Canis lupus familiaris: one gene and its partners. The protein of the gene in region 3 purifies or fractionates together with the protein of the main gene of each other region. This does not show direct contact. Links are inferred from orthologs where the notes say so. Each region holds a gene or a part of one and is shown on either strand. Other genes may lie near its edges.

Region 1 (4,249 bases), on a different chromosome or scaffold from region 3:
TAGCTATCTGGAAGAGAAGAAATGATGGTGGTAGGGAATAGGGAACAGGAAGGAGACAGGCACCAATAAGGCACCATTACTTTCTGAGATTGTGAGATAATTGGAAAAGCAGAGTTCCATGAGGTGTAATTATACATTTATAGGTAGATTCGGAAGAGCCCGTCTTTGAAGCAGTCATCAACTGGGTGAAGCATGCCAAGAAGGAGCGTGAAGAATCCTTGCCTGACCTGCTACAGTATGTCCGGATGCCCCTGCTGACCCCCAGGTACATCACGGATGTGATAGATGCTGAGGTAAGACCTGCAAAACACATAGGATCCAAAACCTTGAATATCTCTTGCAGCTTAGTATTGTGTACTCAGGCCTCCCAGTTAGCCTATCTAGGAATGCCGGAGACGGTGGTTGCGAGGTCGTCTCCCCACAATTGCATGGCAAGTCAGCCTTCTGGAAATGGAAATCTATGGTTTAATTTTCTGTTTTCTTGTCTTTTTGTTTTATATATTCTTATGTGTTTTACATAAGCAACATCAGATGATAACGTCCCCTTCATCAAACATAAGTTGTTCCAAACTACTCTAAAAAAGATGCTTTATCAAGTCTCTGTTTTTGACCTCTCGTGAAACCAACACAAAAGTAGTTTAATGGATTTTAATATCAATTTGGGTTATACTGTGTTTTTTTTTTTATACTGTGTTTTTTTAATAAAAGTGTTTCTCTAGCCCAAGTTCTTGGTGTGTGCTGTGTTTTCATAATGTTTACCATATATATCACCGATTGACCTAGACCAAACAAGTACTGCTGTTTAACATACAGGTGAAGCCCAGGTCAGTGAATGCATTCCTTCTGGCCCAGCCCCAGACCTCTTGGGGACTTAACTACATATATAGTTTTCCAGGTCACATTAGAAAAATTGCAGGCTGGTTAGTGCCATGTGTCAAACTCTTCTCATATTTGTAATTTCTTTCTAGCAACTCCTGTAGCCATCATGTCTATTTCTTTATATAGTGATCCATAGCTCAGACTCTCGAGTCAGACTCAGGACTGAAATCCCAGATTGACCACTCGTCCTGCCCTGAGGGAGCCCGGCCTCACTCCCCTTCTCTCTCTGAGCTCCTCTACAGCTCCTCACTGGCTGAGCCCAGCCAGAACCCAGAGGGCCTGGGGACCACATGACCTACTTCATGTAGGCCAATCTCCTAAACCAGCAAGCAGAGTGGAGAAGGATGCAGAGTGAATCTAGGAATGTGAAGAGCTGCCCATTACAGAGCGCCGTCAGGTGGAGACAGAGGCATTGTGACGGTGCTATGAACCTTGGGGAAATTATTTCAGATAAGATTTACTATTTCTTATCATCCCAGGAATTAACAGAAGCCTTTTGGTTGTCCCTTAAAATTTTTATTAACTATTACGCACTTAAGTTTGTGTAATCACTGGAAGGATATACAAACAAACAAATAAAAGTAGTTAATGCCTAGTGCTGAGGTGGATAGGGAATATTCCTCAGGATTTCTTTTTATGTCATTTGATTTTTGAACCATGTAATGATATATTGTCTATTAAAATTTTTTAGTTTAATTTGTGGAGACTACATAATTGCTAGCAGCCCTTCTGGAACCACAGAGCTTTAGAAACTGGTTTTCTCTACCAAGAAGTTATTTCTTATATGTGCCATTTATATTCATATTCAAGATGTGGCCCCTGTGGCTCATTCTACCATCTGCTGTGTTTCAGCCTTTCATCCGCTGTAGTCTGCAGTGCAGGGATCTAGTTGATGAAGCAAAGAAGTTTCATCTGAGGCCTGAACTGCGAAGTCAGATGCAGGGACCCAGAACAAGGGCTCGTCTAGGTAAGCTGGCATCTTGGCAGAAGGAGGGGATATTTTTCAACTCCCCCTTGCCAGGTGGCATGATGTAGTTAAAAAGAACATTCAGGAAGAAATACAAAGACCTGTTTCGGACCTGTTTTTAATCTTTTAGTAATGGCGTCCTCTTGGACAAGTCACTTCACCACTCTGAGCTCTCCTATAAACTAAGGATACCTTCCCTATGTATTTGACATACCTGGAGGATTAAATGGAATAGAGTGTGTAAAAGCACTTTCTAAATTGTCGAGTATTATGCAGCATGAGTTATAATTTTATTTCACTATTTTTGGAGTCCTGTGAATTAGAAATTATTTCAAATGCCAAGTTGTATTTCGCCATTCTGGAATAAAACGAGGAAGAAAAAGCAGCAGGACAGTATAAAGTACAGGGGTGTTGGTAGTGACGTACAAGAGTTCAGAGCCTGGACTCTGGAGCCAGACTGTGTGGGTGCCGATCCCAGCTGACTACTTGGCACGTATATTAGCTTTGGCAGGAAATCTCACCTCTCTGTGCTTCAGTTGCCTCCTCTCTAAAGTGGGATCATAGTTTTACCTCAAAGGTGGTTATGAAGAGTTAAATGAAGTGATTTATGTAAAAGGCTTGGGCTAGTTCTTGGCACCCGACAAGTGCTGTATACATTAGCTGTTATCTTAGCAAAGAGACTTAGGTTCAAATCACAGCTCCACCAGTGACTGGTTGTTTGACCTTGGGTAAGGTATCAATTTATCTGAGCCTGTGCTTCTGCCTGGAAAATGAGGATACTAATGTCTTATTTCCCTGGATGTTTGTGGAGATTAAATGCCTGACATTGAAGCTGACGGGTAGTAAGTACTCAGATATTACCTCGCTTCTGTTTCCTATCCTCCCTATTCCACTATTGTAGGTTATAAATGATCTATGGGGTGGTGTTTTGTTTTTGGTATTGTCTATTTTTTCTCTTACCTAACTGTGGACTCGTGTATATGAGGGTGTTAATTGATAATTAAGCTGTTCACTGATAGTTTGAAGTAGAATGATTCGTGGGCAGCCCCGGTGGCTCAGCGGTTTAGCGCCACCTTCAGTCCAGGGCGTCATCCTGGAGACCTGGGATTGAGTCCCACGTCGGGCTCCCTGTATGGAGCCTGCTTCTCCCTCTGCCTGTGCCTCTGCCTCTCTCTCTCTTTCCTCTCTGTGTATTCTCATGAATAAATAAATGAACTCTTAAAAAAAAAAATAAAGAATGATGACTCATCCCCTGATTTGTTTTAATTGTATAAGTACCATATGTCAGTGTATGTCAGTATGGAAATGTTAGAAATACAGAGAAGATCTTGAGAGATTCGAATGTGATTCTACATGCCCTTAGGGTATTGAGGTTATTTTTCTGAAGTTCCGGAAAACAAATTCTGAAGCTGTCTCCAGCTAGATTCTTTTTTTTTTTTTTTTTTAAAGATTTTTCTTTATTGAGACACAGAGAGGCAGAGACACGGGCAGAGGGAGGAGAAGCAGGCTCCCTGCGCGGAGCCCGATACAGAACTCGATCCCAGGACCCCAGGGTCACTCCCTGAGCTGAAGGCAGATGCTGAACCACTGAGCCACCAGGTGTCCTTTCAACTAGATTCTTTTATTAGCATCTCCTTGTCAGTGTCTTAGAAATAAATTGTTCCTACTATCATGTTCTCTACTCATCTCCCTTCATAGCAATTGCTAAACCAGCTACCAGGATAATGACTCTTCTGCATACAGCATAAAGAAATTAAATTTACAGCTACATAAAGATGGCATTCCAAATAATGGGTGGGGATTTTGTCTTAGTTATTTACTTCTTACCCATAACTCTCTCACAGAGAATACAGTGGATATTGCCATTTCTAATTTGTCACAATCTCCTTTTCTGAGCTAAAGAGCAATACATGTGGAAATGTCGTCTCTGAAGCCTGTGATGTTAGCAGTCCTGCAGTCGTATCTACTATAGTCCTCTGACTGCATACCACAGCTTGCACACATTCCTATCTCCCCTCCCCAAATAATGACAAGGGTGCTGTCAAGATGCCTTGGCTTTACTAATGTGCTTTTTCATACTGTTTTTGTCAGGCGTTTTAGACATACTCTCCTCATTCTAAAGACAAAATCTAATTTAACAAGTCCCATCCCCTGCCCCCTCCTCCCCCACCCCATTCATTGGCAAAGAACAAACAGGTTTCCTTTTTTTTTTTTTTTTTAATATTTTATTTATTTATTCGACAGAGAGAGAGGGGCACAGGCAGAGGGAGAAGCAGGCCCCATGCAGGGAGCCTGACGTGGGACTTGATCCCGGGTCTCCAGGATCACACCCTGGGCTGAAGGCGACGCCAAACCGCTGAGCCACCCAGGGATCCCAAACAGGTTTCCTTCTACTCAGTCCTT
Region 2 (4,249 bases), on a different chromosome or scaffold from region 3:
GGTGATTTTAAATATGTATCTCCTGTTCGCTGACATAATTTGAATAAAGTGTTTTTATTTATGATGGCATAAAACAAAAAAATGTTCAAATTTTGGGTAAAAACTATACATGAATTAATTTTAAAGTTTGTCCTTGACAAGTTGTTGAAGTGAATATATAATTGTTATAGAAGGAATGTTTTATGTATGTTTCTTTTCCCAATAATTAGTATGGCAGGTTGATATTTTGTGCAATCACTCTCAGTATATAGTACCAGTCAGTTTTAGATTTGCTAGTATTAATTTGATTTTTCATTGTTATCAGTTGGGAATAATTTTGGGTTGTACTTAACTTGAATTAGTACTGAGAATCTTAACATTTTTCATATTTTGTTTATTGTAGGCTCATGCAACACTTCTGGGTTTGGCAAACATGGAAACTCATTATTTTGCAAAGAAAAAAACCCTTCTTGGTTTGAGTAAATTGGCTGCATTGGCTTCAGACTTTTCAGAGGATATCCTACAAGAAAAAATTGAAGGTAAAAGAAAGGATTTGAATGTTAATCATGCTATCAGTGAACTCTTAGAATGCATTCCTGTAATTAATAGGGTTTATTAGAAACAGGACCCATCACTCCTTTAAGAGGAGCGATTTCTATCCAGTCTCATTAGACACTTAAGTACATATTTTTTGGGATTCTATTTTTTACAGAAAATCTGTTTGTTAAATAAGAATTCCTAAGAATTATGTATGATTTGAAGAGTGCTCTGAGTATACCCTGAGTGACTCATAATCTAAGAACAAGAAGAACTGCAAAGAAATCTTGACCTTTTTAATCAGTGGGTTTGTTGTAAATAGTGGTAATTTTGAAGCTACTGGTTTCAGAATTCAAAACTTTTTGGTGTCATAATTGTATCCAACTATTTTGTTGTATTGTAGGTTGAGAAAATGATACATTGTCATTTTTGAGAACCAAGGGGAAGGGAGATAAAATCTAGGAGGAGAAGGAAGAACCCTGTATACAGCATTTGAATTGGAGATTTCAGATGGAATCAAGATTATTTAAAATTAAAGTATTCCTGGCTCTGTTCACTGAAAAGGGCTAAAAGCAGTGACACCCCAGTAGCATGAGTATACCTAGTCCTATGTTTTGGCTTCTAACTACTTCTAACTATTTCTTAGTAAAAACAAAGGTTATTGAGGAAAGATCTTGAATCTTGCTGAGCCAGAGAGCAAGGTTTTTGTAGAGATGTCAACAAAATAGCCTCCACTGGCCGAGTTTGAACCAAAAATAATGATAGTAAAATGATAGTAAAGCATTTTATTTCACCATTTAAAAGCAAAAATTCATAAATCTACAGTGATGCCCAGAATGGGAAGGATCAGTGAAATTCTTCTTTACGAAAAAAGAATACCAGCTGATAAGTGTGGAATAGGACTTGGGAAGCATCTTGCAACTATAGTGACTAATTGTTCATCAAAGGATGCTAAAACATTGAGTCTAGGGGTTAGGGGTAGAAGATCATCTCATGTTTTCAGACTGTCATTACACACATCTAACAGACCATCATCAGCAGTGAGACAGATTAACATTACATACTTCCTGGAGTGATGCAGAATATCACCTGCATTGCTTTCGTGCTAGAGATGTTCAACCTGAATCTAACAACAGGGAATGATCGGATGTATCCTATTTGTGGGGCATTTAATATAATCAGCCCAGTCTTTTCAAAATTAAGCAACATAAAGGGAAAAAAAAGAGGCTGTTTTAGATTAAAGTAGCCTGAGAGCTGTGACAACCAAATGCAGTATGAGATGCTCGGTCATCCCCCAAATAACTGTGACAAACATTTTGGTGACAACTGGGGAAATGTGAACATAATTAATATTAGATGACTTTACTATATCTGTTAAATTTTTCAGACTTGATAATGATACTGGTTGAATGGTCTTGTTCTTAGGAGGTATATGCTAAAGTAATTAGAAATGAAATGGTGTGAAAGTCTGCAACTTCTATATTACTTAAGGGGAAAAGCAAATAGGTGGGTTGATAAGTAGATAGGTAGATAAAGCAAGGATGGCAAAATGTTAACAGCAGGTAACTCCAGGTATACAGTGTACACTGTATTCTTTAAATTTTTCTGTAGGTTTGGAATTTTTCAAAATAAAAATCGGAGGGGGATCTTAGCTATCTGTTCAGGGGTGAACTGTATGCAAATACAGGTGTTTGGTTTCAGGGCTTAGCCACAGAGTCCAGTCTCTTAGGTACAGATTCTAATTATACTGCTGTCATTTGTTTCTTCGAGGAGTGGGAATAGTGGAAAGAATCTAGATGGAAATTGGACAGATCCGATTTCAGATATTTTCTCCAGCTTACTATCTTTGTGACTTTGGATACCCTCTGACAGGCCTCAGTTCCTCAGCTATAAAATGGGTAGTTACAAGGATTGGAGGCACTGTTCTTGAAAAAAAAAAGTCTTACATATATTATTTAATATATCCTAGGATTAGCATTTAATTTTTATTATTAAAATTATTTGGGCAGCCTGGGTGGCTCAGCGGTTTGGCACCGCCTTTGGCCCGGGGTGTGATCCTGGAGACCCAGGATCGAGTCCCATGTCGGGCTCCCTGCGTGGAGCCTGCTTTTCCCTCTGTGTCTCTGCCTCTCTCTGTCTCTGTGTCTCTCATGAATAAATAAAATATGTTTTTAAAAAAAAATTATTTTGCACTGTTGAGGGAAATCTTCAGTCTTTTATTTTTAAGCACTGGTAGTCCTTTTTTGTTCTAAAGAAGTGTGTATAAATTCAGCAAGGTTGGCTGATAATCTGACGTGGGAAGCCATAATTTAGTCTGATCACCAGAGATAGACCATGTTATTAATTAAATCAAGGTTTTATTTCTTGCTACCTCACCCACCAGAAATCGTTAGAACTGGTCATTTTGATTTGATTACTTCTTAACTTTCACATTCTTAACACAATGGGAGTATTTTCAGATGTCAGTAATTACCTACAGACTGTCATCAGTGTATCTGGACATAGGGAGTAGATTTTTGAAAAATAACTTCCTTTCTGGTAATGTGAATAATTCCTTATGGAAATTTGTAAATTACCAGGAAAAACACAAACAAAAAACCCAAATTGTCTATATAATATCTCACTGCCACAGAGATTACTACTATTACTGTTTTGTGTATCCTCCCAGTCTGTTTTTCTATGTATGGAAATTGCACAAAAATGATTTGATTGTGAAGTGATGTCAGTATTTGTATGAGCATATTTGTGCTTTGGTCACTGTACTTTGCTGTGATGGGACCGCTGTGTTTATGAGGCTGCATGGCAGTTCTAGATCCTTTTCCTCTGTAGCCCAGCCTGGGGATGGGCTGCAGCCTGGATGGCTTATGGCAAGTAAGCCTCACCCTGTCCCCTCATCCTATTGAGATTACCATTGCTAGTTAATAGGTTTGGCACATAAGCTTCCAGGTTTTGTTTTTCCTGGAGTATACTCATTGTGGCTTTTAAGTAGATCATTTCCCCTAGTGAAAGATTATGCTAGAAACTCTGGTGGGAGTTCCTAAGTTACCATAAAATGGGACTGAATCCCCCGATCTGAAGGACTTGTGCCTCAAAATAGCCATCTGTTCTACAATTTCTTCAAGCAGTAGGGTGTATTTTCATAGCTCTTCTCTCCCCTCCTGTATCTGGTGATAGTGTTTGTTTATATGATTTGGATCACACCATAAATATGTTTTAGCATAATCAGAAATCAAGAGTTAGCAGAATTAATAACATTTTAAGTTCACCAAATAGTGATGAGATTACCTGTAGAGATGTTCCTCTTTTTTGAAAAAAATTCAGATTTTTTATGATGGAGCAGAAGAGTTTATTCCTCTCCCCGCCTCTCATTTTGAATTCTAGAAATGGCTGAGCAGGAGCGCTTTCTGCTGCACCAGGAGACCTTGCCTGAACAGCTGCTGGCGGAAAAACAGCTAAGTCTCAGTGCAATGCCAGTGTTGACTGCCCCACAGCTCATCAGTGTGCGTGCTTTTCACATCCTTGCACCATTCCTTAGTCTCAAAACAACCTCTCAGTATTTGAGTCAGATGGTATAGTTCCTACAAGTAGTCATCTGCCCACTTACTATTTTTCTGGTAACTTTCCCCTTCCCCTAGAATAGTTGTTAAAAGTTGCTTGAGAGCAGGACTCACGTTAGTGGAAAGTAGTGGGCCAGCCTCTGCCTCCACCTGTTCCTAGAGATGCTCATCCAGGT
Region 3 (4,249 bases):
AACCTGAGTTCCACAGATCTCCAAGGGTTTGGTGGATAGAATTCAGGGACTGGTGAACTGGGGCTGAGATTAAAAAAAAAAATCACATCTTTATTGTCAGTGACTCATATTTAGCATTTCCTTCAATGATGGATTTAGGCTAGAAACCACAGCAGTATTCAGAACACCTGTAACTTTGTTACCAGTAGAAGACACAGATATCTTTATAGCACATTCCAGTTACAGCTGTCTCAAAGTAGCATTTAGGCTCATCACTACTTTGAGATGAGAGTGGTTATTAGACCTCCCACTCGAGTTTGTTAATGTGCTAACAAAGAAGTACATGTATCACGATGTTATAAATCCTTCTTCAACATTTCACTAACTGTATTTCATTTAATTGGATTTCCTTTGTAATTCTAACTCTGTGTATTGTATCCATTATTCTGAGAAGGGACCAAAGCCTTCAGCAGACTGCACAGGAGAAATTAACCTTGATGAATAGGAGTTCAGTACACATTTGGTAACTGAATTAAAGAAGGCATAACTAAGTAGTCATCTGGGGAGACGGAGTCCCCCTCTTCTTGAGTCAAAAACTGAGTGACTGAGGGGTCAGATGCTACTTGTGCAGCAGGAGCAGCCCCAGGCTGTGCAGAATGCTGCCTGGCACCGGTACTGGCAGAGGCGATCGCATCTGCTCTTACTTGGCCCTTTCTTCTGCGCTCTTTTTCTCATGCTTAAATGATGTATGATATTAGAGGAATAAAAAAGATTCACACCTCCTCCCTTTTTTTTGCCTTCAGTTGAACTGCTAGTTATAGGACATTTGTATCTCTTCCGAGTTTCCTTGGCAGCTACTTTGTGGGGCCTGGAAATTGTCCCAGCCAGAAAGAGGAGGACACATTGAGTGTCTGCAGCCCTGGGGTAGAGAAGTGAACAAAGAACAGCAATAGCAGCTGACAGGCATGAGTGGTTTTTCCTTTTCTTGTGCCCAGCATTGTTCAAGCTTTTTACGTGAGTTATCACACATATTTCCCCCTCACGAGCACACTTTTGAAAGAAGTCTTGCTGGTATCTCCATTGGGAGACTAAGCCACAGAAAAGACATGACCCTTACCTAAAGTCAAGCAGCTAGTGAATGGGGAGTGGGGGTGGAAAAGCCTGGGCCATCACCTCTCTGCCGTGTCACTTCTTGTGTGCTGGGTTCCCACCCTTCCCTGCACCTCAGAGACAGCCCCAGTACAGAGCCCAGCACCAGGTATGTGCTCAGATATTACTGACCAGGTGAATGCATAAAGATCAGAAGAACAATTTACTCTACAAACACCTCTGAGCAATTATAAGTACAAACCCTGGATTGATTGGTGCACAAATGAATAGGCTGAGAGGCTTCTGATGATGGCAGATGTAGGTGGTACTGGCTACACTGTGGGACAAGGGAGGGTTATGGCAGGTCAGGATAGAGAAGCTGAGTTAAAGTCCTGACTTACTTTCAAAGCCCCTGGGCCTCAGGACCTTTACTGCCCAACAAAGGTCCCCTTTGGCAGTGACATCCTATAGCTCTCCGTTACAAAATTCTTAGGCAACTCTGTCCTGAGATACTGTATCTGCCTACCAAGAAAGCCATTCAGTTCAGTCCAGAGTAGTGGCTAGCAGAGCACCGCAGGTTCCTGTGACCCATCTGAGCAGCCTCTGACCCTGTCTGTCCCCTTGTAGTCACGAGGGTCCTGTGTGGCAAGTGGCCTGGGCCCACCCCATGTATGGCAACATCCTGGCATCCTGCTCCTATGACCGGAAGGTCATTATCTGGAAGGAGGAAAATGGCACCTGGGAGAAGACACACGAGCACACAGGACATGACTCCTCAGGTACAGTGAGTGTAGTGGGAGCAGGTGGGTGGGGCCTTGCATTCCTTTCCCTTGTGATGCTCCTCCTTTGTCCCTTGGGTTTGGTTGGCTTTTCTGCTGTCTACAGCAGAGATAAGGCCCTAGGACCTAAAGACAATTTCAAGTGAAATAAGAAAAGGTAAAAACAGTAAGTTTTCTAAAAAATTTATTCATTTAAAGTACTGGCCTTTATTCTCAGATTACTTTCTATCTGCTTTTATTCCCCTGGTTTTATTAATTTATTTTTATCAACATACAGTGTTACATTGGTTTCAAGTGTATATTACACTGACTCGATATTTCTGTCCATTACGCTCATCACAGTAAGTGTACTCTTAATCCCCTTTATCTATTTCACCCCATCTTGCTTTTTGTTAAAGTAGACGGTAGTTTATGAAATTATTATATTCATGGATGATGAGCTTTTTAAGTCTCCTTAATTGACAAAATTAAAACTTCCTCCTAGTGATCCCTGCAATTTTATTTTTCAAATTTAGTAAAATGATAAACCTGGGAAACAAAGTCTGCTAACTATGCTTCTCTCCTTCCTGCAGTAAACTCTGTGTGCTGGGCCCCCCATGACTACGGCCTAATACTGGCCTGTGGGAGCTCAGATGGGGCCATCTCCCTGCTGACATACACCGGAGAGGGCCAGTGGGAAGTAAAGAAGATCAACAATGCTCATACTGTAAGTCTAGACCTTGCCTGTGCATGGAGTGTGCTTTTGTTGCCTTGCTATGTGTCTCCTGGAGACTCTTGAGAGAGTGGCAGGAGTAGCCTCACTGCTGTGCAGGGGGCTGGGGAGGGAATGATGCTCAGACGTGCTTGGTGGGTCAGTTTTGAGCCTCTTTAGCTCTGAAGCCAGACAGAGGCTGCATGCAGGGAGGCCAGGCTATACCAGCCTCATTCGGCCCAGGGCAGGGGTTGGCACAGGTTCCTCTTAGCAAGCTCCCAAACCAGGCAGGGCCAGGACCTTGGCAAGGTGGCAGCAGTAGCCTGTTTACCTGCTGCCTTTGCTATGGACACCTCAAGTTGACATGTTTACAGTGGTCATTGGGACCCCCAGAACTGAGTAGTGTTATAAAGAACATCCTAGGAATTCAGTTCCTTGCATTTCAGTCATTAGATATTATGGCTAAAATAGTCCAGAAAGCACTGTAGACAGTAAAGAATCTCTCACAGTACTTAACCCTTACTGTGTGTCATGTAATCCTTACAAGTGTCTGTAAATGAAAGAAGAAGCTACCAAGTGTATAGGCATGCAAGTAAGCCATTCTGTTCCCATTTTATGGCAAGACAGATGAGGGTCAGAAAAAGTAAATGATTTAGAGAAGGTCCTGTGCCAGAATTAGAACCCAGATTCTGTATACCTTCTCACTATACAACAGTTCCAGCTTTGGTGGCCCCAAACATTTCTAAAATCTACTCAGATGGAAACCTAGTAGCTCCCAAGCTTGATGCTGTACTTGGGTACTTCTCAAATTCAGGGGATCCATAGTCTGTCCAGCCCCTAGAACCCCCAAGAGCCTGTCTCAGAGTCTTTACTTAAGGTACTCAGATTCCCATCTGCTGACTAACTTGCAAAAATGAGTAGGCTGAGAGACTTCTGAGAAGATGGTACGGAGTGGCATCACAGCTTTTCAGTCTTTCCTCATCTCTGTAAAAACCCAACAGAGCAGCTAGAGAGCACAACCAAAACTTCACAGCATTTACAATAAAACTAGGTAACAAGATATTTCCACAAACTCCAAAATAGAAGCAGAGAGGAATAAACCAACAACCACAAAACTGCATGGTATTGGTTATCTGAGCAGGAAGAAGCAATAAGGTGCCTTCTAACAGACCTGAGAAGGGAGAGTATTGCCAAAATAGCCAACAGGGAGGGGATCCCTGGGTGGCCCAGCGGTTGGGCGCCGCCTTTGGCCTAGAGCGTGATCCTGGAGTCCCGGAATCAAGTCCCATATCAGGCTCCCTGTGTGGAGCCTGCTTCTCCCCTCTGCCTGTGTCTCTGCCTCTCTCTGTGTGTCTCTCATGAATAAACAAATAAAATCTTAAAAAAAAAAAAAAAAGGCAGGAGAAGTTTTAGGATTTCTCTTGCTTTTAACCATTTTTTAAAACTAATATACAATTGACTTATAAAATTCACCCTTTATAAAGTATATAGTTCTGTAAGTTTTAGTCACATTCACAGAGTGTGCAACTATCACTGCTAATTTTCTGAACTTTTTCCTCCCCCCAAAAAGAATGCTCATTAGCAGTCACTCTCCACCCTGCCTCCTACCTAGGCAGCTGCTAATTTACTTTCTGTCTGTATGGATTGGCCTATTGGCAATGTTTCCTCGGAGTGGTATCCTACAACACAGATATACCTCAGAGCTGTGGTG
Region 4 (4,249 bases), on a different chromosome or scaffold from region 3:
AATAAATAAATAAAATCTTAAAAAAAAATAGTATATATAAAGAGTGTAGCACAGAATCTAACATATAGTAAGTCTTAGTAAAAACTTTCTTTTCCTGCTGGGAGTATAGAAAATACTATAGGATTAGCTCGGTATTTTTTTCTTTGCAAATTTTTAGATTTTCTGATTTTCTGTTATATACTTTTAGTTGATTACTACACGACTAAGTAGAATTTCTAAATTCAAGAAAACTTTAGTAAAATAATATTTAGTAAAATAATATTTACTAAAGTAAAACTTTAGTAAAAAATTTCTAAATTCAAGAAAACTTTAGTAAATATAATATTTAGTAAAACTATTTAGTAAAATAGTGATGTGTTTAGAGAGGAATTTTTTACACATTTAAAATTCAAAACAAAACTGGTGATTTGGTTAGGTAGTAACTAAAAAATTAAGAAGTATAGGCATAAAGGTGTGTGTACATTATAACTCTTATATGATTCCATGTACCTCTCCTTTATAACATTTATTACAATTGCAATTTTATACTTTTTTAGCTAACAATTTTATTAACTGCTATTTGTTTCATCAGATTTTAATTTCATAAGGTCAAGGACTATATATATATATATATATATATATATTTACCATTAGATGCCTGACACATAGCAGGTACTTCTCAAGTGAAGTTGCTCAAAGGGATGGATGAATATAATTTAAGAAATACATTCAAGTTATGTAGTAACTTGACTATTAATTAGAAATAAAGTATTTTTGAGCTAATATTCCTCTTTGCTTCTATAGTACCTTGTATTTTGCTCTCTCATGGTGATTATTTCATTGTCTTGTTACTGTTTATCTGACTGTCTCCACAACTGAACTTTTTGCTTTCTGAGAAAAAGACTTTATGCTCTTTATTTTTGGGTTCCTAATACCTAGCACAGTATCTGGCGCATGGTAAGTAGTTGATACATCTTTGGAGTAATTGAACGGATATCACAGAAAAAATCTCTTTACAGGAAATGCTGGGACTCTCTAAAGTACCTGTTACTCAAGCAACACGTGGTCCTCAGGTACAGCAGCCACCTCCTTCCAATAGGTAATAATGAAATATGGCAAAGATAATTTTTACAATTTGTGAAGCTCTTTTAAGCATCCTGTACCCTTAACTTGAACATAGACATTCAGTGATACTATGTTGTTAAATATTTTTAAGAATGTGAATATATTGCATTAGTATACCTTCTAAAGATTTGAGGCAGAATCATATCACCAAAATGGTTGGTTTCTCATCATTACAATGTTGAGTTACTTTAGTTTTGATATGTTCCTGATCTATTTTTAAGTTCATAAAAACTTTTGTGGTTGAAGGCAGCCAAACAAAACTAGGTTCTGCAAAAGCTTTTCATTTTGCCTTCTTAGCCTTACAGGTAGTTTTTTCCTCCTAAACTTACTAATTAGAGGTGGTATTACTAAAATTGAGTTGATGTATCTTCTCATAATTACTTCAGTAGCCTTAAAACTTACCAGGCCGGTAAATAAAAGGCGCAGTCCTGAAGTAATACTTGGTGTGAGTGTTTTACTTATAGTTGTTGTGCTAAGACTGGTTCTGGACCAGTAGATAACATCACCTGGGAACTTGTTTGAAATGCAGTTCTTGGGCCCTACCCCAGACCTACTGAAACGAAACTCTGCAATCAGCAATCTGTTAAAATAAGTTCTTCTACTAGTTCTGATGTACACAAAAGTTAGAGAGCCATTGGTCTGCCATGTATTGAAGTTACTTTTCTCTATTTTTAATTTTTTTTTTTTAGGATTTTATTTATTAGAGTGAGTGAGCACATGAGGGAGAGGGAGGCTCAATCCCAGGACCCTGGGATCATGATGAACTTAAGGGAGATGCTTAACCTACTGAGCCACCCAAGTGTCCCATACTTTTCTTTCTTTCTAAAAAAGTGAACAGTTTGTTTCTTGAACTCTTACAAACATTTATAAATGACTTTTTATTTAACTTTGCTTTGCAGATTCTTGCAGCCAGTACAGAAAATAGACATGAATCTCACAGATCTTCTGGGAGAACTGCAGCGAGACCCTTGGCCTGTACCACAGGGGAAGAGACCTTTGCGTTCCTCTGGAGTGGCACTTTCCATAGCTGTAGGACTACTTGAGGTAGTGACGATAGCTTTGTTTTGGAAATGTAAATGTGTATGTGTGTATCAATGATATGTACAAGGTAATGTTGTTGAGTGAGAAAACCAGGTCATTAAGACAAGTATCTAATTACATTTAAAGTTTGACCTATGGTATATCCTTTTGTGTATAGAGAGGCACCTGGAAGGGTGTTCGTCCAGCTGTTAGCAGTGGTAGGATAAGGGGAATTTTGCTTTTAAGTAGAGTTTGAAAATTTTACACTACACAGATCTTAAGCTTTATAATTAGAAAAGAGAGTTTAAAAAAATGCTTTTTAAAAATGTGAGATGCTATCAAATTTACAGAGAAGTTGTAAAGAACTTTTTTCCCTTTGAACTATTTACATTGTTGACACCTTTCCAACCCCTTGAAAACTTGAGTTGTATTTCCTATAAATCAGGATATTTTCTATAAAACCACAATACAATTATTACAATCAGAGTATTAACACTGACATGTTACTACCACCTAATTTTCAGAACTCATTCAACTTTTGCTGGTTATTTCAATTTCTTTTACTAAAAAGATTTAATTCAGAGACATGTATTTAGCAGCATGTTTTTTTTAGTTTCCTGCAGTCAGGTACAGTTCCTCAACTTCTGCTTTCATGAACCTGATGCTTGGAAGATTCAGGCCAGTTATTTTATAGGCTCTCTCAAAGTAGGTTTGTTTTGATGTATCCACACAGTTAGATTCAGGTCTTACATCATTGGTAAGAATATTGTAGAAATAATTCTGTGTTCTCATTACACCCTATCACATGGCCTGTGATTTTCATTTGCCATTCAAGATGATACAGTCACCATGATCACTTCTTTTTTTTTTTTTTTTTTTTTTTAAGATTTTATTTATTTATTCATGAGAGACAGAGAGAGGCAGAGACACAGAGGGAGGGAGAGGCAGGCTCCTGCATGGAGCCTGATGTGGGACTCGATCCCAGAACCGGGATCATGCCCTGAGCCAAAGGAAGATGCTCAACTGCTGAGCCACCCAGGCATCCCACCGTGATCACTTCTTAAGATTGTATCTGTAGATTTCTCCACTGTAAACATACTTTTATTTTCCCTCCTTTTGTAATTGAAAAGCATTAGATGGTGAGGGTCTTTGAAATCATACAAATATCCCCTTCCTCATCAAAATTTAAATTTATTTATTAATATCATTATAGAGTTTACATCTTTTCTATGTGTATAGTTACTCTACTTTGTTCCATAATTAGAAACTTTTTTTTTTTAAGATTTTATTTATTTATTCATGAGAGACACAGAAAGAGAGACAGACGTAGGCAGAGGGAGAAGCAGGCTCCCTCTAGGGAGCCCGATGTGGAACTCGATCCTGGGACTCCGGAATCACACCCTGAGCCGAAGGCAGACGCTCAACCACTGAGCCACCCAGGCATCCCCATAATTAGAAAAATTTATATAATCATATTAGAAATGCTTTTTGGGGGAGTCTGCTTCTCTCTCTGCCTATGCCTCTGTTTCTCTGTGTCTTTCATGAATAAATAAATAAAATCTTTAAAAAAAAAAGAAGAAATGCTTTTATTTGCAATTTTCTTAGTTACTGGACAAAAAACATAGCACTTTTTTTATGTTATGTTATAGCTTCAGAAAAGAATAGATGGTATAACTTTTGTAATCCAGTGTATTTGGATTCCTCAAAATTTCTGTTCTACTTATAGCACTCTTATTTTTTATTTATTTACTTATTTATTTTCAAAATAATACCATTTTTTCTCAAGTCACTGGTACCTTAGGAGGAAGGAGAGGTAGATTGGAGCACTCAGTCTATCATCTTGAATTTGAAATATAAGCTATGCTTGTTTTAAACATAAAAAACAAAAATAAAACAACAACAAAACAGAAGATGCACTCTTTTCACTCTTTCTTTACTCCTTCCAGTCTAGGATTAGTTAAGCAGGAGAAGCATCCTTGTTTATAGGAATCAAGTTTATAGAGTATTTTAAAGTTAGGAGGGCACTATTAATAGGATTTCAAAAGAAAGGTATTTAAACAAATACCTTGTCTTTAAATTCATTTTAAACATTTGATTATTTCTTGGGAAATGTATACTTTTGTGT
Region 5 (4,249 bases), on a different chromosome or scaffold from region 3:
AAAGTTTGAGATATTAATAGGATTTCTTTTTTCATCGAATCCAGTGTATACAGAACTTTGATGGAAGTAGTTTCTAGGCTTTAGTGCCCAGAAATACAAAGGAAAAAGGAGAGAGTTACTCTTTTTCTAGAAGGGTGTGGGCCAGGATTTTAAAATACTCTTTATTCAGGGAAAAGTGCTAGTTTTTAGGGCTTCGCTTTGTTTAATCATATCGTCATTCTGGAAACCTAGACTCTGTCAGTCAGCCAGCAGTGGACAGCAGCTCACTACCACACAGGCCCGGGAAGTCCTTCCTATAGCAGTGCACCATGCACAGGTGTTGTGTGCAACAGCCCAGAAATTGTCACAGTTGGAGAAGATGGTCGAATAAATCTCTTTAGAGCTGATCACAAGGAGGCTGTGAGAACCATAGGTAAGCAAAATATATTTCTTTTGTTATCACATAATTGAGCACCTACCAGGTGTTAAGCAAACGTAATGCTAAATGTTTGAAGGATGTGAAAATATACAAAGTAGGAGCCCTTTACAAGACAAATGTTGATAAGACATGTAGGAATGAGTGACGACAAAAGAAAAGCTGTTTGATCTTTTTTTTTTTTTTTACTGGAGAGGATAATGGAAGAATTGAGGAGCAAGAGGCAATTAATTTAAACTAGGTTCTGGACCACAAATCTAAAAGATGGCACACCAAACAAAAGGAATAAAATGGAGGCAGGATAAGTCCATTCAGAGAATGACAAGAAGTATAGTTTTAGATATTTACATAGGAGAGGGGACAGATAAGCAAGAAAATTAAATTGGGGCCAGGTTTTGAAGAGTCCAGTGCACAACCACAGAGGTTACATTTTGTCAGGTGGGCAACTAAGGAGCCATTGAAACTTGAGGCAGGGGGATGATATACTCCCTGTGATGTTTTGGAAGGATTATTCTAGTCTAGTAGTTCTTAACTATGCTTCACATTGTCAGACTTGCCTGACAATAGTTTTAACGATCCACCACCCTAGACCTCCTGAATCAAACCTCTGTGGATTGAGCCCATGGATCCATTTTTTGTGTTGTTTGTTATTCTTTTTAATTCTGAAGAACACTTATTTAACGATTAAGGACCATTGCCTGGAGTTTAGAGCAGTGTCACAAAACAAAAGGCAAGAAGTAGGTGCTAAATTATGTGATATTAAGCTTAAACCCTCTAGGTAGGGATGCCTGAGTGGCTCAGTGGTTGAGCATCTGCCTTTGGCTCAGGACGTGATCCCAGTCATGGGATCGATTCCCACATTGGGCTCCTTGGGAGGAGCCTGCTTCTCCCTCTGCCTATGTCTCTGCCTGTGTGTCTCTCATGAATAAATAAAATCTTTAAAGGACCAGTATACCAGTCCAGAAGGACTTCATGGAGAAGAGAGTTAATGAGGCTAAAGATGAAGAGATTTTTTTTCTAAGATTTTATTTTTTTAAAGATTCCATTTTCATTTATCTGAGAGGAGACAGTGAGCGCAAGCACCAGAAGGGGAAGAGGCAGAGGGAGGAGAAGGAGGCTCCCCACTGATCAAGGAGCCCAACATGGGGCTCGATCCCAAGGCCCTGGGATCATGCATGACCTGAGCCGAAAGCAGACACTTAACCAACTGAGCCACCCAGGCGCCCCTTAAGATTTTATTTTTAAATAATCTCTACACCCAACATGGGGCTTGAACTTAGAACCCTAAGATCAAGAGTTGCATGCCCTATCAGCTGAGCCAGCCAGGTGCCCCTAATGATGAATAGATTTGAGATAAGTCAGCCAAATGATACAAGTTCCGAATAAGCTATATAGGAAGCACTGAGGTTGGGAGGTTCTGGGTTAAGCACTAGCGGGAGATAAAAAACTGGAAATAGAGGAACTTAAATAGCTGTCTCCGCATTGGAGGGTAATAGTCGTAAGTGGAAATAGAGAAATATGTGAAAACTCAGCCTTCTGTTTGGAAAACAGCTGTTCTGTAAGACAGATAATTTTTCTATCAAAGGAGAGTCCATTTTAACAGATATATTCCTGTGCATTTTTCTATAGAAATTAAACTGACTTATTTAAAAGTTCACTTGTAATATTTCAATCAATAGAAGGAATGCAAATTAAGAATTTTGTGGAGGGGCGTCTGGGTGGCTCTGTGGTTAAGTGTGTCTGCCTTTGGCTCAGGTCCTGAGCTCAGGGGCCTGGGATCCAGTCCCACATCCGGCTCCCCATAGGGAGCCTGCTTCTCCCTCTGCTTATGTCTCTCTCATGAATAAATAAATAAAATCTTTTTTTTAAAAAGGAATTTAATGGGAAAATAGGACTCATTAACACACACTACTGTTTTCTTAATTTGTAGACAATGCAGATAGCAGTACACTCCATGCTGTAACCTTCCTTCGAACTCCTGAGATTCTTACAGTAAATTCAATTGGGCAGTTAAAAATATGGGATTTCAGAAAACAAGGAAATGAGCCTTCTCAGATATTATCACTGTAAGTTTTCATTTGTAATTTTAGTAGTGAACAATTAATTTGTTCAATTGTTTATAACAACTGACTTTAAACCATATTGTATTTTAATTGCATTTGAAGAGAATGATCCCTGATTAAATTTGGTAAAGCAAGTATAATTTGATGAGCTTGGTACTGCTCTGCTGCATATTTACTAAAATATTTGTCATATTGATTCAGAGCCTGTATCTCTTGAAAGTTATATTATTTAATGGGGAATTTAATTTTGCTCAGCAAATGATTCTACTGATACAATGCACTCCTGATGTGATTGGGATAAAAATAAAATCCAAGATATTTTTGCCTGAGCAAAAAATTTTATGTGTGCAATTTTCTCTAATAAGAATATAGAAAAAAAAGAATATAGAATTTGTCAAAGTGAAAAAGTAATTATATAGGCAAAATATTAAGTCAAATAAGAAATAAAGAATATGCTGTTTAGTTGTACATAAAGTTTTTTAAATGCCAAGAAATGGAAATATGTTTGCACATCTTACCATCAGATTATCATGTTCCTTATGTCTCCAAATTGAAGAGAGAATAATTTTGGCTTTAATTCCATTGCAAAATTCTAATATTTAGAAATATATTTAATGCACCCAATTTTTTGACATGATTTAAGTTCAGCCAATAGCTCCAGCCACAAAGTTAGTTAGTTGCTAGAGTGAAATATGTTTCACGGATTATGCAAAGATAAATCATATTTCACAACATGTTTGATGTCATTATATCTCCTATAAAAGGACTGGTGACCGAGTGCCCCTCCACTGTGTTGATAGACATCCCAACCAGCAGCATGTTGTAGCTACTGGTGGCCAGGATGGAATGCTGAGTATTTGGGATGTTAGACAGGGTACTATGCCTGTGTCTCTGCTGAAGGCTCATGAAGCTGAAAGTAAGTGCTGTGGAGATACACAAGTCTTTTTTGTTGGGTGGTAATATGATGTATTATAAGCAGCTTTCCGTAATAAGACATATGGATCATTTTATGTTGTAGGTTTTGGCTGAATTATGTAAATGTATAATAACTAATCCCTTTTTATTTGACAACTTATTCAGTATGTTTCTTTATTCTATCCAAAACCACAGTGATTAATTATCCTTACATGTTCATCTTTATGTGCTTTTCTTAGGATAATTTTTTTGAAGTAGAATTCGTAAGCTAAAATATTTGTATAGTTTTAAAGCTCTGATACATGTTATCAAACTTTATACATAAAAATACATAAAAATATTATACATAAGTTTATATTGCCATACTCCATATAAGAGGATGCCCTTTTCCCACTTAAATGCAGGCTATCATTGTTAATATTTGCCAATCTATGTGTTCCTCAATTTATTATTGTACTCTTTTTTTTTAAACAACAGTATATATAGGATCTTGTCCCTTTTTTCATCTTTTGATTTTGGTGGGGATTTTTTTGACTAGACATATTTTTCATTTTACCACTATTGTTGATATCATGACTGAATTACAATTTTAAATTCTGACTTAAGAGAAGTTTATATTAAGCCCTGCTTGAATAAAAGTACAAAAGCAGAAGCATACCAGCATTTTAATTTCTTAGTTTAAGTTTCACATTATCACCTTGGAAAGATAGATTATTTTTAAGATTATATTTAAGAAGCAAATAAAATGATAGAAATTTTTTTGCCTCTTCTAGTTATAACCAACCCAAGGGGAAAAAAGGAATAAAAAGAAATAGAATATGTCCTCTTGGTAGTGATAGTAGATGTTGGTAGTGAC
Region 6 (4,934 bases), on a different chromosome or scaffold from region 3:
TTAAGGGGTGCAAGGCGCTCCATCTGTGTCACAACCATTCAACTTGACCTTGCCTGTGGGAAAACAGCCACAGACAATACATAAACGTAGGCTAGGCGCATAACTCTGCTTCAACAAGACTTTGTGGAAACTGAAATGAACGTTTACATGATTTTCACATGTCACAAAATATCATTCTTTTTGTTTTTGTTTCAATTACTCAAACATGGAAAATCTGTTCTTAGCACTGAAAATGGCTGCACAAAAACAAGTAGACCAAGAGTTTGCCAACTCTGGTCCAGTCCCCATGCTTTCCACAGCTAATGGGCAACAAGCTTTACTTTACCCCTGACTGCCCAGGTGAGGTGTCATCACGCAGAAAACGGGAAAAATATATATGTGATACTTATACATTTATATTATATAAATATACATTTATATATATGAAAAAAATAAAACAGGAATAATACCTTCCAGCCAATTATGAGGAGTCACTGAGACGATGACTACACAAGCACTCGGAATTTCAGGCTGGGCGGCACTATACAGCAACAGTGGCAGGTGGCAGTGATCATGAACACTCTCCTGAAAAAACTAGCTTCCAAACTGCACTGGAGCAAAAACTGTGTCACGGGAAATTATCACTAGGGTGATAGTGAGAGATGGTAAAAGAATATCTACGTCGGATATTCCAGGGCCCACATCCTGGTTCCTCAATGTATGAAATGTACGTCCTTCGGTATTTAAAATCTCTGATGAACATAAATTTCCTCAAGCATAAAGGAGTTAAGATATCACTTACCTCGTAAAACTATAACACAAGGAAACATCCACCTAGGGTCACGCACTTAATAGGTGCTCCGTTAAAAAGAAAGAGGGACGTGGCTCAGCGGTTTACCGCCTGCCTTCGGCCTGGGGGGTGATCCTGGGGTCCCGGGATCAAGTCCCGCGTTGGGCTCCCTCATGGAGCCTGCTTCTCCCTCTGCCTGTCCCTCTGCCTCTCTCTGTGTGTGTCTCTCATGAATAAATAAATAAAATAAAGAAAAAAGGAAAGGAAAGGAAAGGAAAGGAAAGGAAAGGAAAGGAAAGGAAAGGAAAGGAAAGGAAAGGAAAGGAAAGGAAAGGAAAGGAAAGGAAAGGAAAGGAAAAGGAAAGGAAAGGAAAGGAAAGGAAAGGAAAGGAAAGGAAAGGAAAGGAAAGGAAAGGAAAGGAAAGGAAAGGAAAGGAAAGGAAAGGAAAGGAAAGGAAAGGAAAGGAAGAAAAAAAGGGGCATCGCCTTCAGGGTGCAGATCCTAAATATTCTTTGGGAGACGGTAACAGAGAGAGAGAAAGTAGTGAAACTGGAGTCTGCTCGCGTCTTGGGACTCGAACCATGGTTTCCTGCCACCCTAAGGAACATACGGAGGTCCCTCCAGGCGTCCCTCAGGACCTTCCAGCCATACTCCTCACCAGATAACCGGGAACTCTTCTACACCCCCAGACCCAAGCAGGCTACAGAGCAAAGCCACTAAACAAATCACATTCTGGACGGTCACTTGGCTGTCACCAGCCCCAGCCTGAATCACAGATTAATGTGTGACAGGCGGGCGGGCAAGAGATGACACTCACCTGCCTCGGGAACAGCCGGCAGGTGCAGACCCCACGTTACAGTAGTCCCGCCAGGCTGCGGTCTCCAAGCGGTGAGAGTTCGTCCCGAGTTAGATTTTTAAATCTCGCGGGAAGGCTCGGGAGCCAATCGGCGCTTCCGCCCTCTGACCCGGAAGCAGAGTCTGCGCGCGCCGCGGCAGTCCCCCAGCGGAGACCGCCTTTCCTCCGGCTATTTCCCGACGCCCCCGGTGCGTATCGCGCGGGAGCCCTAGGGGTCCCTGCTGCTTTACTACTGGCTGCACAGCGCTCCCGTGGTGTCCTTGCGAGTTACTTCTCTCCCGGGCCGCACCCTGTCTTTTCCCGGACCTCAGGCTTTGGGAGGTGGTCGCGGGGTCTCGCGGGACTTGCCTGTCTGGGAGAGGCGTTGGGGCTCTTTGCAGCGCAATCCCTTCCCTCCTCTGCCTTTCCAGTTTTAGAGGGCACATCGCCCCCCCCCCCTCCCCGCAGTGTGCAGGGAAACCCTGAAATGCAGTGAGAGTGGGCACTAGTTTAAGGAGCAAGAAGGGGACCGAGTTTCCTGACCTGGAGTCTTTTCCACTCCCCACACCGCCGTGCCTCTCTAAGGGCATCCACCTGCTGGTCACCCTTAACACATGTCAGGTCCCGGATTCCCACTCGTATGCTTACTAGGTTATAGGCTACATGAGTTGGGATTCCTCTCCTTCTCCGTAAATACTTCTCAGGTTCTTGATGTGTTCGTTACTGAGCCCAACTGTTCTCAGGACAACTGCGTCCAATTAAGAGAGAAAACACAAAAAATAAAAAAAAAAAAAAAAAAAAAACCTCTTTACATTCCTGAGTCTTATCTGGGAATGCTACTTTCAGAGTGCACACCAGGCCATAGCAGGTTAGTTGAACTTTTGTGCCTGGTTTTATGAGTATTATTTTTATATCACACATTTTGACACACCTTTCACCAGATCTTATATTTTCGATCTGCTTATGTTATGGCGCTTTTCACACTGAGTCATAACTGTTAGCGGATATTGTGATCTTGAAGGCAAAGGGGCTGTTTTTCTTCCCTAGGATTAGTGTCCAACGCATAGTAAAGTATTACAAGTGCTATCTCCTCTTACGGGCATGGCAACTAACCTACTGAAGTCTCGATTCTTCTGTAAAGTGGCAGCCATTTCCCTCCTCTTAGGTTTGCAAGTGTTAGGTGTCATGATGTTAGTAAAATCCTTAACATGGCACCTGCAAATAGTGCTCTGTAAATGTTAATTTATCATTAATTTTTTATGAATATATTTACAACTAAAGTGATTACATCTTCAAGTACTCACTGTATCTTCTGGTTAAACAGGTTATTATGACGATTTATTCTGCAAGTATTATAAAGTATTTAAACAAGTACTTGAATTTTTTTTTTTAGCTGCCTGTGGCATCTGAAATACCATGTCCTTATTTTGATTCAGTTGCTGAAAGTGACTGATACTTTGACGTTTTCTATCTGTGTTGTGTCTCTGCTGTAATCCACAGTTTCGTCACCTTGTCCAGTAGAAGGCTCTTTTATTACAACTGCTCAAGTATTGACATACAACATGAAGCAAGATGCCACAAGAAGTGCTGCCTACACTGTGGATTGTGAAGATTATGTGCATGTGGTAGAATTTAATCCCTTTGACAGTGGGGATTCAGGAAACCTAATTGCATATGGTGGCGGTAATTATGTGGTCATTGGCATGTGTACTTTTCAGGTTAGTGTACAAAACTCAGTGACTGACAATGAAGCTATTTTACTGGTTAAAAAAACAAACTTTGGTAAACTGATTAAAGTTGGAAAGCATATTGAGTTTGAATGTAATAAAAAAAAATATGAAGAACTACAGAGGAAGATATTTCCAGTAATATATGCCTGAGATTTGTGCAAACATTAGTGAAAAAAAAAAAAAGACCATGAGGCCTGTCTTTTGCCTAATAATTAGAAATGGAATATTCTGGTAATTGAAGGTTGTGACTAACTGAACATTTGGTATGTACAGGGAAAACACCAATTAAATGAGATCTAAGTAATCCAGTTTTTTTATATTCTAGGCTTTGACACGGAAATCAAGCCTAGAAGAATGATCCTCTAGGAGATTTTACAGCTGTCGTGATATTCAGCTTTTCTATTAGTATGCTCTCATGCTTTTTATTCATCTAAAGCATAATCCAGAGTATACAAAGTATGAGACCCAATTAATTGAACAGGCAATTAGGCATATTCATTAAGATTGAACTCTGGAGCCAGAATGCCTAGGTTTTTACCCCTGTCTGGCTTTACCTCTTAATAGCAATATGACCTCGAGCAGGTACTTAATCTCTCTTATATAAAAATGAGGAAAATAATACTTAATAGGATTTTATGAGAATGTAGTTAGTACATCATGTGAAGTTCCTGTAAGGCATCTGCATGTTTAATTCATATATACATATTATATACATATATATATATACACACACACACACACACACACACACACACACATATATATATAATGTTTTAACTGTTATTAATTCGGCATTGTTTCCCTCTAGCACAGGCCCATGGTTAATCACCAAAGCAGGATGCTTTGCGGTGAGCACACACCATGTTTTCTCACAGGAAAGCTAGTTCCACATGTGAAAGAGTCTAAACAATCAGAGTTCAACCCTCAGAAATCTTGGCTAATCCTTTGTTTACCAGAATATTATTCATAAAACAATATTTCTCAAATTAAGGTTAATCAGTGAGGTAATATGGCAGTGATCAGTTTTCAAAGATTTAAAGTAACTTTACCACTAGAATGGTACTATTATAAACATAATTATTATTTCCTCTTTTACTCACGAGGCAGTTCAGTATTTTATTTCAATATAGTGTTTTGACATCATAAATGCAATTTAGCATTTTATAGTACAATAAGTAAAATTATCCAAAATTAGACTGCATGCATATTTATCCTAAGGAGAAAGTATGAATTCAAGCTTTCAGGTTTTTGGTGTTTGAATGTAATATAAAAGCTCTTACATTGTGCCACATTGTCTCTCTTAGGGTTAGGGTAGGAATTGCTAGCCATGACCCACAGCCTGACTTTAGCTGGACTACTTCGTTAGGATTATAAAAAGCCGACATGATTAAGAGAAATAATATAACACACTTTTGAAAAAGACTGAGGGGAAAAAAACATTTTTCTGGTACAGGCTACTAACCCACAAAAGAATAAAGCAGCTTCCTACAGGTGAAACTAACTTTTTACTTAATCACTTCTAAAATTAATAACTGTGAATACAGAATTGTGTTAAAAAATACTGAAAAAATTTGTTTTATCTCTAGTTTATGTTCAGCT
Region 7 (4,249 bases), on a different chromosome or scaffold from region 3:
TGTAAATTCCTCAGTGATAGTCAGGTAAAAATTGGTTTAATTCTATATTTGAAGTGATTAATATTTACTGTTACTGGATTAGGAAACTAATCTTCATGTACAAATATGTGTATGTAACATATAAATTCTTCTTTAAAAATAATTTATTAGATCAAGATACTGTAAACATGTGTATTGTAACCAAAATTGTTTAAGATTCCTGACTTAATATTTTAGTTTATTTTTGCTTTTGATCTAGAGATAAAGACATTAAATTCACCGCTTAGGGATGCTATAAAAAAATTCCTTCATTCCTTCCTAATACAATAAATAAGTATTGAATGCATATGCTGTGTATATAGTGACAGAGAAACGCCCATAAACAATCAGTAATAAAAGGTGCTAAGCACTATAATAATGAGCAGGAAGTGCTGAGGGAACAGAGAGGAATATAGACTAGAATTTGGGGTGGGATGAAGTCAGAGACCTTACCAACAGATGATTATTTTTGATCATCTTCAAGTTCCCTTTCAACTCAGATTCTATGTTTCTATTACAATAAAACTTTGCAGAATACTGAGGGACAGTTCTCTTTAAATTTAAAATAATAAACCCTCTATAGTTCTTTTATAGAATAATTACTAAAATATAATGAATGCCTTTTTTAAAAAATATTTTAAATAACCAGGAATGCTACATTGTAATTTATGACAGATGCAGACTTCTTAAGAGATCACATCTAGATTTTTGCGAAGGCTTTGTTTTAAAATGTGTTCCATAAAAATAAAACTATTCCAAAAGTATAAGTTTTGAAGTACAGAGTATATAGTGAAACAAATTGCTTCAGAAAAATCACTTTGAATTTTCCAGTTAAATAGATATATTGAAAAGTTGACCAACGAAATGAAAGAGGCTGGAAATTTGGAAGGAATACTGCTTACAGGCCTTACTAAAGATGGAGTGGACTTAATGGAGAGTTATGTCGATAGAACTGGAGATGTCCAAACAGCAAGTTACTGCATGTTGCAGGTTAGTGCAGTGTGGTAGCAGCTTAAAGAAAAACAGTGCTTAACCACCTTCTTCCTTCATTGAGTGGGTATGCCTTTTGCTTGTTTAGGATCTTTATAAGGCATTTAACTTTAATTATTTTTACTCTAAATTTAGGTAATTAACATATAGTGCAATATTGGTTTCTATGGTAGAATTCAGTGAGTCATCACTTACATACAACACCCAGTGCCCATCACAAGCGCCCTCCTTAATCCCCATCACCCATCTAACCCATCCCCCACCCACAACCCTCAATCAACCCTCAGTTTGTGCTCTATTTTTAAGAGTCTCTTATGGCTTGTTTCTGTCTTTTTTTTTTTTTTCTTTTCCCACTTCCCGTGTTCATCCGTTTTCGTAAATTTCACATATAAGTGAGATCATGTGACATTTGTCTTTCTCTGACTGACTTATTTCACTTAGCGTAATATACTGTAGCTCCATCTGTGTCATTGTGAATGGCAAGAGTCCATTCCTTTGGATGGCTGAGTAATATTTCTGTGTGTGTATCTGTGTGTGTATGTGTGTACACACACCACGTCTTCATCAGTTGATGGAAATTTGGGCTCTCTCCATAGTTTGGCTATTGTGGACATTGCTGCTCTAGATGCTGGGGTGCATCTGTCCCTTCGAATCTGTATTTTTTTATTCTTTAGTTAAATACCTAGTGTAATTGCTGAATAATGGGGGATCATTCTATTTTTAACATTTTGAGGAACCTCCATACTGTTCTCCAAAGTGGCTGTATCAGTTTGCATCCCCACCAACAGTGCAAGAGGGTTCCCCTTTCTCTATATCCTTGCCAACACCTGTTGTTTCTTGTGTTGTTAATTTTAGCCATCCTGACAGGTATGAGATGGTATCTCATTGTGATTTTGATTTGTATTTCCATGATGATGAATGATGTGGAGCATCTTTTTATGTGTCTATTAGCCATCTGGATGTCTTCTTCAGAAAAGTGTCTATTCATGTCTTCTGCCTATTTCTTAACTGAATTATTTATTCTTTTGGTGTTGAGTTTTGTAAGTTCTTTGTAGATTTTATTTTTTTTTAGGATTTTATTTATTTATTTTGAGAGAGAGAGAGAGAGAGAGAGAGGCAGAGACACAGGCAGAAGGAGAAGCAGGCTCCATGCAGGGAGCCCGACGTGGGACTCGATCCCAGGTCTCCAGGATCATGCCCTGGGCTGAAGGTGGCGCTAAACTGCTGAGCCATCTGATCTGCCCTCTTTGTAGATTTTCGATACTAACCCTTTATCAGATATGTTGGCAGATACCTTCTCCCATTCTGTAGGCTGCCTGTAGTTTTGTTGATTGTTTCCTTCACTGTGCCAAACCTTTCTTTTTTTAAGATTTATTTATTATTCATAGAGACAGAAATCTCTATGAATCTCAGAGAAAGAGAGAGAGGCAGAGACACAGGCAGAGGGAGAAGCAGGCTCCATGCAGGGAGCCTGATGAGGGACTCGATCCCGGGACTCCAAGATCATACCCTGGGGCAAACGAAGGCAGGCACTAAACTGCTGAGCCACCCAGGGATCCCCTGGCTGAAGCTTTTTATCTTGATGAAGTCCTAATAGTTCATTTTTGCTTTTGTTTCCCTTACTTCTGGCAACATGTCTAGTAAGAAGTTACTACGGCCAAGGTCAAAGAGGTTTCTGCCTGTGTTTTCCTCTACCATTTTGATGGTTTCCTGTCTCACATTTGATCTTTCATCCATTTTGAATTTATTTTGATATATGGTATACGAAAGTGGTCAAGTTTTGTTCTTCTGCATGTTACTGTCCAGTTTTCCCAGCACTGTTTGTTGAAGAGACTTTTTTCCATTAGATGTTCTTTCCTGCTTTGTCGAAGATTAGTTGACCATATAGTTGTGGGTCCATTTCTGTGTTTTCTATTCTGAAGTTCTATTGATCTATGCATCTGTTTTTGTGCCAGTACCAACTATATTATCTTTTTTATTTTTAATTTTTTTTAAAGATTTTATTTATTTATTCATAGAGATGCAGAGAGAGAGGGGGGCAGAGACACAGGCAGAGGGAGAAGCAGGCTCCACGCAGAGAGCCTGATGTGGGACTCGATCCAGGGTCTCCAGGATCATGCCCTTGGCTGCAGATGGCGCTAAACCGCTGCACCACCAGGGCTGCCCCCAACTATATTATCTTGATGACTACAACTTTGTTATAATACCTTGAAATCTAGAATTATGATGCCCCCAGTTTTGTTTTTCAGAATTGCTTTGTCTGTTAGAGGTCTTTTGTGGTTCCACACAAATTTTAGGATTGTTCTAGCTCTGTGAAAAATGCTGGTGGTATTTTGATAGGGATTGCATTAAATGTGTAGATTGCTTGGGGTTAGAAGGCATTTAACTTTAAGCTAATCAGTTATTCTGTAGTAGACTTCTACCTTATCTTACTATCCCTCAGCCAGTTTTTCCTTCCATTTTGGGAAGTGTCCGTGTTGAATTTACATAAAGCTCAAATGGAGCAGAGAAACCTCTTTCTAGTTTCTCCAATTCACAAAACTACTTTCTATAAAAGAGTTGCCTTTCCCTGATCTGAACTATGGTCTCACTTGAAGTGCAGAAAGAAGTTATACCACAACTTCCTTCCTCTCATTTTACCTTTTTAATATTTGGGGTAGCCAGTTCATCAGTTTACTCTCAGTTTTTATTGTCTAACAGTTAAAAACAGATTTCTGGCAAAAGTTCTCTTCTTTACTTTTGATAGAAATATGGTGAACAGTTAGAGCATTTCCCTGAGATTTCATGTAGCCCTCCAGCTAATCTTATCTTCTCATGGTGTCCTCTTTCCTATCCCCATCTTTTCATACAGTTGATAGCATGCTGTATACTGGGTAAATGTAGTAAAATGCACCCTCGGATCCTACCTTCTTATGAACAAACAAACAAACACAGTATAAATTTACCAACTTATCAGGCCACTGCCTGTGGAAGAAAAGGTGTCTTTCTGTAGCATAGCACATCATTTTTTTTCTTACTGAAATGAGATTATATCTATTAAATCAACTGAGATTACATGTATTAAATCATCCCAAATCTCCCCTGTGTAAGGTTTCATTTTCCTTTGGGCTGCTTTTGATTTTCAGCAGTTTACCCTTGATGCTTAGTTGTATTTCTTTGTGCCCTGCTTGTGGTTCAGTGAGCTTCTTGGATCTGCAAGTCTGTGTTTTTCATTAGTTTTGCAAAGTTTAGGGGTGTTGTT

The links.
Region 1: the proteins of SEC13 (region 3) and KLHL12 purify together in Homo sapiens (affinity purification with mass spectrometry; 3 studies listed by BioGRID and IntAct, with this or other methods). This does not show direct contact. The link is inferred for Canis lupus familiaris from reciprocal best matches to the Homo sapiens genes SEC13 and KLHL12.
Region 2: the proteins of SEC13 (region 3) and NUP133 purify together in Homo sapiens (affinity purification with mass spectrometry; 4 studies listed by BioGRID and IntAct, counting the BioPlex papers as one, with this or other methods). This does not show direct contact. The link is inferred for Canis lupus familiaris from reciprocal best matches to the Homo sapiens genes SEC13 and NUP133.
Region 4: the proteins of SEC13 (region 3) and SEC23A fractionate together in Homo sapiens (co-fractionation; 3 studies listed by BioGRID and IntAct, with this or other methods). This does not show direct contact. The link is inferred for Canis lupus familiaris from reciprocal best matches to the Homo sapiens genes SEC13 and SEC23A.
Region 5: the proteins of SEC13 (region 3) and NUP43 purify together in Homo sapiens (affinity purification with mass spectrometry; 3 studies listed by BioGRID and IntAct, counting the BioPlex papers as one, with this or other methods). This does not show direct contact. The link is inferred for Canis lupus familiaris from reciprocal best matches to the Homo sapiens genes SEC13 and NUP43.
Region 6: the proteins of SEC13 (region 3) and NUP37 purify together in Homo sapiens (affinity purification with mass spectrometry; 5 studies listed by BioGRID and IntAct, counting the BioPlex papers as one, with this or other methods). This does not show direct contact. The link is inferred for Canis lupus familiaris from reciprocal best matches to the Homo sapiens genes SEC13 and NUP37.
Region 7: the proteins of SEC13 (region 3) and MIOS purify together in Homo sapiens (affinity purification with mass spectrometry; 5 studies listed by BioGRID and IntAct, counting the BioPlex papers as one, with this or other methods). This does not show direct contact. The link is inferred for Canis lupus familiaris from reciprocal best matches to the Homo sapiens genes SEC13 and MIOS.

Annotation. Positions count from the first base shown.
Region 1 is NC_049228.1:400,091-404,339, forward strand, and holds part of KLHL12 (kelch-like protein 12), read left to right. Parts: intron 1-143; coding exon 144-293; intron 294-1,731; coding exon 1,732-1,846; intron 1,847-4,249. UniProt on the Homo sapiens protein: Substrate-specific adapter of a BCR (BTB-CUL3-RBX1) E3 ubiquitin ligase complex that acts as a negative regulator of Wnt signaling pathway and ER-Golgi transport.
Region 2 is NC_049225.1:10,194,132-10,198,380, forward strand, and holds part of NUP133 (nuclear pore complex protein Nup133), read left to right. Parts: intron 1-382; coding exon 383-518; intron 519-3,897; coding exon 3,898-4,016; intron 4,017-4,249. UniProt on the Homo sapiens protein: Involved in poly(A)+ RNA transport. Involved in nephrogenesis.
Region 3 is NC_049241.1:8,118,749-8,122,997, forward strand, and holds part of SEC13 (protein SEC13 homolog), read left to right. Parts: intron 1-1,695; coding exon 1,696-1,847; intron 1,848-2,419; coding exon 2,420-2,553; intron 2,554-4,249. UniProt on the Homo sapiens protein: Functions as a component of the nuclear pore complex (NPC) and the COPII coat. At the endoplasmic reticulum, SEC13 is involved in the biogenesis of COPII-coated vesicles.
Region 4 is NC_049229.1:17,442,876-17,447,124, reverse strand, and holds part of SEC23A (protein transport protein Sec23A), read left to right. Parts: intron 1-998; coding exon 999-1,078; intron 1,079-2,003; coding exon 2,004-2,148; intron 2,149-4,249.
Region 5 is NC_049222.1:40,749,042-40,753,290, reverse strand, and holds part of NUP43 (nucleoporin Nup43), read left to right. Parts: intron 1-231; coding exon 232-412; intron 413-2,345; coding exon 2,346-2,481; intron 2,482-3,242; coding exon 3,243-3,394; intron 3,395-4,249. UniProt on the Homo sapiens protein: Component of the Nup107-160 subcomplex of the nuclear pore complex (NPC). The Nup107-160 subcomplex is required for the assembly of a functional NPC.
Region 6 is NC_049236.1:41,260,808-41,265,741, reverse strand, and holds the start of NUP37 (nucleoporin Nup37), read left to right. Parts: upstream 1-1,723; 5' UTR 1,724-1,814; intron 1,815-2,368; exon of another isoform or gene 2,369-2,473; intron 2,474-3,105; 5' UTR 3,106-3,167; coding exon 3,168-3,323; intron 3,324-4,934. UniProt on the Homo sapiens protein: Component of the Nup107-160 subcomplex of the nuclear pore complex (NPC). The Nup107-160 subcomplex is required for the assembly of a functional NPC.
Region 7 is NC_049235.1:23,148,630-23,152,878, forward strand, and holds part of MIOS (GATOR complex protein MIOS), read left to right. Parts: coding exon 1-24; intron 25-849; coding exon 850-1,008; intron 1,009-4,249. UniProt on the Homo sapiens protein: As a component of the GATOR2 complex, functions as an activator of the amino acid-sensing branch of the mTORC1 signaling pathway. The GATOR2 complex indirectly activates mTORC1 through the inhibition of the GATOR1 subcomplex.